Alligator mississippiensis: one gene and its partner. The protein of the gene in region 2 purifies or fractionates together with the protein of the main gene of each other region. This does not show direct contact. Links are inferred from orthologs where the notes say so. Each region holds a gene or a part of one and is shown on either strand. Other genes may lie near its edges.

Region 1 (3,748 bases), on a different chromosome or scaffold from region 2:
TTTTCATTTTAGATGGGGGGAAAAAAGAAAAAGCATATTCTTGAAATCCTCATGTTCGATAGCATTTCAATTGTAAAACTGCCTGCCACTCTTTATAACCAGCCCCTTTGCCCTGAAATTGGCAGGCAGTTTGAACAGCATGCACAATTTTTGACGTATCTCCTATTATACATGGCCATATGTGCACAGACCACCTACTGTATGCTTACAGGCCAGCTTATAGCCTATATGCTTATGGTACTGTGCCATAATAAAGGATGACTCTGATGGTGCGATGAAACACCAAAAGATCTAGCAAGAGTCATTATCCAGCTTTACAGAGGTTTACCTTCAAAATTCAGGGCTCAAGTCAAATCTCATTTACAGTGCAGCAACTCTGTTATTGAGTTACTCCACATTTATACCAAGGTCATTCCCAACAGTCTGGCTCCTGGTCTTTCAATCAGTCATTCATACCACACACAAAAGCCAACACAGTAATAGCAGTTGGTTTTATCTTGCCCACCTACCCATATAGAGAACGCCCTCTTTCGTCTTTCCTGCTGCTTCTGCCACACCCTGTTTGGTTTTTTCTGCTGCTGCCACGACTCCCTCCTTAGCCTTGGAAAGCCCTTTCATGAATACATCCATGGTTAAACAATTTCTTTAGACAGTACTGGAGAAAGAGAACAAGACAAACATTTTGAATCAAGTGCTCTTTTTTCTGACAGGAAGACTTTTGTTCCAGCTGTGACTAGAACCGTTTTTATTGAAAGATTAGATTTTTCTGAACATCACAAATATCATCTGTATACATTTGACTTTCTTCACACACCCATGTTCAGTATTTCATACAGAAGAAAAGTGGTCCAAAAATACATGCACTCCTCTCAATGGCCTTGATATTTTCTATTTTCTCAAACGCTGTCATACATAACAAGTTAACCAGCATTACAGACATACATCTTGTTTCTGCAGTACTCTCACAACCCAAGTAGAACAGACCTAGCTAATTGCAAAGGAGCCTTAAAAATGAAGAGGCTGCAATGTGCTATAGGAACTGATTCAGTTCTGGTGAGGGTGAAGAATGGGGGGTGGATTAGCTGATTTAACAGATCTTTTCCAGATCTTCTCTTTTCTGAAATAAAATTTCCTTTAAAGGAAATGAGACGGGGTTTTTTCCTGTAAGAAGGAAGGATTCAGCTCTAAGATGAGATGATATTTTCTATCTCCTCACTCAGAGCCACAGACTCCCTTAAAGAAACACTGTCAAAAAAAGCAGACTTCTGTGCAAAAGTGTTTAATTACTATTGTTATAAGAAACCCCTATTATACTTGAAAGGATTTGGAGGGGGAGGGGAGAGGGAAGGTCTGCTTTTTCGGATTTGACAGCATTTCTTTCTGTTTGCTTCTTTCTCCTATAGAATTAGTTTCCCCTGTGATTTTAAGTGGTCCTTCATACAGCAGCAGGGGGAACAAAACATGGAGTAAAAGTAGAAAGACGTCACTGTAAAACTCCCAAACTGGCAGGTGGGAAACAGGAGCCAAGGTAAGGTCAGGAGCTACATATAAGTCACTTAAAAAATGACAGTGTCCCTTTAACAAATTAACTAGATTGGTGATCACTTCTTTCTCCACCCATATGTAGAGCAAAAGCTTAGGGGTGCCTCTCCTCTCCCTTTCCCTTGTGATGCTGAGAAGGAGGAATGGGTGTCTAAGGAAACATCTGGGCTGCAGCCACCCCTACCAAGGGTTTTAAAAATTAGAAGTGCTATTGGTGTCTCATTAAAACCTTTTCTAACAGCTGCCAGTCTTCCTAGGAGAGGCAATGAAGCCGTTTCAATCACTGAGATGTAAGATCTGTCTAGCTACTACTAGCGAGGCTCTCTGGGATCCATTGTGGGGAGGCAGCTTCCAACCAGGCTTGACACTAGTGAGGGAAATGTCCCAGGACCTTCTCCAGGAGCTGCCCTCTCCTGAATGATGCTGTGCCCTGGAGAATCACACAGACACATGCACACATGCATGCACACACATACACACTCTGAGCCCTGGGAAATCACACTGCACCCCCCAAACACGCAAACATACATTCACACATGCACATACACACACTGAGCCTTGCGGAATCAACCCCCCACAACACACACACAGCTCACACACACACACACACAGGAGAGGAAGGCAGGCTGGGGCACCTGTTAACAGAGCATTCACTCACCACAATGGACGCAGCCTCCCATCCCTCCCCCGGCTGGGCAGTTCGGCAGTGTGCTGACCTGCCGGAGGGGACGGGGCTAGACCAAAATTTTATTTAAAAAAGAGAGAGACAGAAGGAAAGTTTGCCCAGTGCCTCCCTACAGAAAGCTGTGGCATTTCCAGGGCACGAAGCAGCAGCAGCTGAAGCCAGGCTCAGGCTCATCCCGCCCAGCGCACATGTAGCCTGGGATCAGGTACACACACACTCTCTCTCTCATCCTCCCCGGGATGAAGCGACCCGCGAGGCGGAGGCAGCCCGGGGGGGTCGGGGCAGCAGCCGGGCGGAGCCGCCTCTCCGCACACGCAGCCCCGGGGCCGTGCCCCGCTCCCGCCAGGCGCAGCCAGGACAGGACCCAAATCCCCACTGCGAGAAGCACCGTCACGAGAACGAGCAGCTGCAGGCACTCACCGCGGGGCCCGGGGAGCTGCAGCGGCGGCGCGGGGGACCCGAGGAGCGGCCCCTGCCTCAGCACATGGCGGAGCCGGAGCCGGCGGGAGAGTCGCGGGGAGCTGCCCCCGCCCGGTCCCAGCCCGGCAGGCAGCGGGTGCGGGTGCGGGCGGGAGGCGGAGAGAGCGGGCAGGCAGCGACGCTGCCCCTCCGCCTCCTGCCCCCTCCCCATCGCCTTCCCCGCCCAATCCGTCTGATTCGTCGCAGGGGGAAGATGGAGGCAGGCCTCCCCTCCCATGTGCCTGGGCACTTCTCCCCCCATCGCCCCCGGGATGAGGCACTCCTGCCTCTGAGGCTTGGGCACCGCCTCCTCTGGGGGTCCCTTGGCCAGGGGATTCATTGCCAAGAGCAGAGCACATGGAGACTGACTGGGGAGGGCAAGAAAAAAGATGAGTCTCCCTTATTTACATTTATTTATTTATTTATTAGTATTTGTACCCAAAGGCTTGCGAAGAGGAATTTTTCCAACTATTCGAGTTGGTCTAATAGAAGACATCAGATTTACCCAAAGAACCCATCTCTCTTGGCAGGCAAGGCTCTTTGGATAGATGTGATATCTTTTATTAGACCCACTAAATCTTTAGTTATCTAGTCCATCTAATAAAAGGTATCACATCTCATAAAACATAGCACATCTACCCAAAGAGCCTTACCTGCCTATATTCTTAAGCCAACACAGCTACAACCAACAGCCCTGTCTCCCTTGAGTGTTTCCAGGAGCTTCAGATATCACATATTTAGTTATTTAGTTGGTCTAATAAAAGGCATCACGTCTAATAAAATATACCACATCTACCTGAGGAGCCTTGCCTGCCTATGTCCTTAGACCAACACGGCTACAACCAACAACGCTGTCTCCCTTGGGTGTTTCCAGGAGCTTCAGCAAGTGCCAGCCATCAGCCCATTCTGCCCCCACCTTCCATCCACCAACAAAAAGAACATTGGATGCCCAGGAGAAGGAAGCCATGGCCAGGGAGACGTTTCCTTTCAGTCAGCACACCTTCCCATCATCCAGGCCAGGCAACAGACCCTGGGGGAAAAACTGGATCCTTCTCATTACTG
Region 2 (3,748 bases):
GTCCAGACAACACTTTAATACAATGCAAGATATTTCGTCACCTGCACAAATGGCAGCAATCAAGCCTTTCCTCATCTCCTGGTCCTTCAGGATGTCTTTAACAGCAGAGGACTGCATAAAAGAAACCGTATCACTTTACATAATGATTTATTTTAACATGACAAGTCAAGATACATTTTCTACTGTAAAAATATAAATCAAGAAATGAGAACTAAAACAGGAACTTCAGTCCTTCTGTTTTATAACATAGAACAAACAGATTTTAAAAGAAATTGTAAATGTAGAACCTTCAAAAGCAACAAGAGGTAACAATTAGAAGGGATATTTATTTACCTCCTATTTGATGGCTGAAACCAATATCTAAACCTATTGAGGCCACGGTAAGATTAAAAAAGCCAAACAGGAGACAAGTTTCTTAGACTTTACCCCCAACGAATCTAGTATTAGGCACTGTCAGAGAAAGCATAGCAAATTGAATGGACATCTGGTTTAATTCAAGTGCTTATGGCTTCAATCTACTTTACACTTTGTTGCATTAAATCTTTGTTTACCAATTATTGCATCTCCACACCTTAAGAATCGAAAGCACCTCCTTATTTTCAGAGTAATTAGGGCCAGGCTGCTTAACAGTTGATTAGCTTACAAAGGTCCAGAAAATTGGCAGAGGACAAGTGGTCATCAATGTAGCCACCCTCCCTCCTACCAAATTCCCAAACCCAAAAGGTGCCCCCCACCCTTGGACTGGTCCACACCCCCTCCCTCCCACTTCTGAATTAGGGGCTGAGCCACACCGCCTTTCCCCCCTGCAGGGCCTGTTTGGGGCCCAGCCATGCCTCCTTTCCTCCTCCACAGTGCCAGGTTGGAGCTGAGCTGTGCTCACTTCCCCTGCAGGGCCAGATTGGGGCTGAGCCATGCCCCATTCCTCCCCCTACCCCCATGGGACTAGGTCTGGCTCCTTTTCCTTGCAGGGCCAGGTTACTGCTGGCCTGCCCCCGACCCTTCTGCCTAGTCAGATGGGGTCTGCTACTCCTGCCCCAGGAGCCGGATCGGGACCACCAGCTGGATCCAGCCCACCTGCCAAAAATGTTGGGCACCACTGCTCTAAAATATTTAACTAAATTTGCAGAAGTAGAAGCTAAAAAGAAGCATCACTGAAAGAATTAAGAGCATTCCATCAGATGGGTAGGCCTTGGTATTGCTGAAGAGAAGTCTTTTACCTCTGACAAGTTCTGAGCTCCTAGATTACCTCCTGGTAGGACCACCACATCATAAGGCCCCTAAAGAAACACCATTCTGTTAGTGTGTTATCAAGATTGTTCATGGAGAAGACCTACCTTCATAGTGGTGAGAATATACTGTAATAAGTAACAGATAAATCCTAATTTCTGGGGAACTTCCAAAATATTTACTTAATGGAGTGCCTTATTGTCTCCTTTCCCACCAGAGTGTTAGAGACACTTGTTCCAAAGCAACCTCTGCCAACAAGAAGTCTGAGTGTGGGTGAGCTCAGTACCCTAGAGTGTGAATGTCAGTGCTTCAGTGTGATCACAAGAGCTGTGCTGCAAAAGCTCCCGACACAGCCCTGTTACTGCGCTTCCTTCCTAAGCAAGGGCTCTCTGTTTATACAAGTCACCCTATTTTTTCAGTGTCTGGGTAACACCTTAAAATAAAGTCTGAGTTGATTTTGTAAAATATTTAAAGTGTCTGGATGGAGTGTGACAAGTTGTGCAAAACTTTAGTATTTTCTTGAATAAAGAAAAAAAATGCTAGCCAGACAGATTTCTATGAAAATTGCAGAATGTATCTTTGAGCATGTGATGCTGCTGCTGCAAGGAGTGAGTTAACAGAACATTAATGAAGGAAAATAAATATAATTCTAAGTCTGTTGTGAACCACAAAAGGCCAGTGTTAAGCAACATGCCAAATCAACAGGACAAACCTCTTTTCTGGCGTCTTCCAAACTGGTGTCAGGACAAACAAAGACATCTCGGCTGCACTGCACTGGCTCTTTTCCTGTTAGGCCTGCAACTGTGACCTTGATCTATCAGAAGTACAGACAGCATTAGGACTCAGGAAAATTGCCTGCTTTGGAAAGTTGCAGGGGTCAGTTACATAGTATTCACAAGTATCTTTTAGTTAAGAGGTCATTTAAACCAAGTGAAAGTGGAGCTGTGAAGACAAACTCACTCCAAAAGTCTCCCTCCTATAAAAGCAACAGTCAGGGAGAAACATCTGTGGTGATATTGAGTTTCGTAGTCTGGAAGGTCTAACAGATATATTCAATAACTCATCATTTGAACAACCCTAGTCAGGGACCATTTCAACCCAGAGCCTTTTACATTCCAGAAGAATCAGACTAAGTAAATCTGTTAAAGGATTCATCATCCACTGGCAGGCTTTGCTCATGATCTTCTGGATGTTTGCCCTAACTGTATATAGCGCATTACTCAGTTCCTTCTTTTTCACTCTCTGATACTGGTCAAAATACCCTAGACATGCATGGTACCTCACAGGTAAAGAAAATAAGGAACAGTGCACGGGCTGCTTGAAGACTGATTCAAAAGAACAGCTTTGATTTCAGAGGGACCTCAAGGGATTGTAGTGGTTGGCATACTCACTCCAGCCCTTCTCATAAGATCAGTGGGGATAACAGTTTCCATCTCCTCTGCTCCTTTAGCCAGAATTACTAAGGCTCTTTTTGCAGACATGTTTTGTTGGCACTAAGATGCTCTACTTTCCACAATGTCCCAGTGCTGCACTGAAGCCTCCAGCATACAAGGACCAATACTCTGCTTAGGCAAGACAAAGGAGAGACCATTAGAAATTGAACTGCCCAGATAGATTTATCCTAAACTCAGACATCACCATACAACATGCACCAGTTCCTCTGCCCATGCTGTACCACAGGAAGTGTAAAGGGAGGCTCTGGACTGCTGTGCTGGAAACAAAATGAGGGAACTTCCTAACAGAGTACTTGGGTCAGATCATCCTTACAGTTTATTCGAATGAGACAGCACAACCAAAGTGCATCACAGGGTAATAAAGTATGGCATCTCTGTCTCATTTTTCAGATAAGCCCCATATCAGCACAGTTTAGAAGATTTAGTGAAGATTCAGAACAGTGTTTAATTAGGCAACTATAATCTGATTTTATAAAGGAAAGTTGAGACACCAAGGAGTTAAATAGCTTGCATGGCAGGACACCAGTGCAGAGCTGGGAAGAGAATCTTGGACTAAACACAATTTTACATGACAGCCATTTACCAGCATTAGTGTTTAAAATAGACATTAGGTTGGTTATCAGACTGCTCACCCACAGAGAGAGACTGATGATGACTCCCACCCGAGGTTAGTTACACTGTTAAGTGGGTTTAATTGGGTGTTCAGCTCATATTTGAAGCTTCATTTCCTGACAGTAGTCTGCAGGAGTTTCCTGTGAGTTGTCATGACCAATAGTGTCACCAAATGTTTGATTAATAGATTTTCTGGTATTTCCCCAATCTAATGGGGGAGGGGAAGGTGCATATCTTCCCTAAAGTGACTGAACAGAACAAACTGGGGGTAAGATTTTTCACAAAAAACAGGCTCCTAAGTGGATGGCTAGATTCTGGAGAGCAGTTGGTCTTGCACCTACCTTACACCTCACATGCATGTAGTAAAAGTATTTAGTAACATTTTGTGTGTGTGTGATTATCAAGTTTCTGATAATCACACACACACACACACACACACACACAAAATCACAAGG

Evidence for each region. Proteins that work in one complex are often made in the same cells at the same time.
Region 1: the proteins of PARK7 (region 2) and SNCA purify together in Homo sapiens (affinity purification with western blotting; 3 studies listed by BioGRID and IntAct, with this or other methods). This does not show direct contact. The link is inferred for Alligator mississippiensis from reciprocal best matches to the Homo sapiens genes PARK7 and SNCA.

What each region holds. Positions count from the first base shown.
Region 1 is NC_081825.1:152,570,732-152,574,479, forward strand, and holds the start of SNCA (alpha-synuclein), read right to left. Parts: upstream 2,828-3,748; 5' UTR 2,648-2,827; intron 656-2,647; 5' UTR 631-655; coding exon 510-630; intron 1-509. UniProt on the Homo sapiens protein: Neuronal protein that plays several roles in synaptic activity such as regulation of synaptic vesicle trafficking and subsequent neurotransmitter release.
Region 2 is NC_081836.1:20,171,388-20,175,135, reverse strand, and holds the start of PARK7 (Parkinson disease protein 7), read right to left. Parts: upstream 2,714-3,748; 5' UTR 2,709-2,713; coding exon 2,619-2,708; intron 2,042-2,618; coding exon 1,940-2,041; intron 1,770-1,939; exon of another isoform or gene 1,445-1,769; intron 1,278-1,444; coding exon 1,218-1,277; intron 112-1,217; coding exon 42-111; intron 1-41. UniProt on the Homo sapiens protein: Multifunctional protein with controversial molecular function which plays an important role in cell protection against oxidative stress and cell death acting as oxidative stress sensor and redox-sensitive chaperone and protease.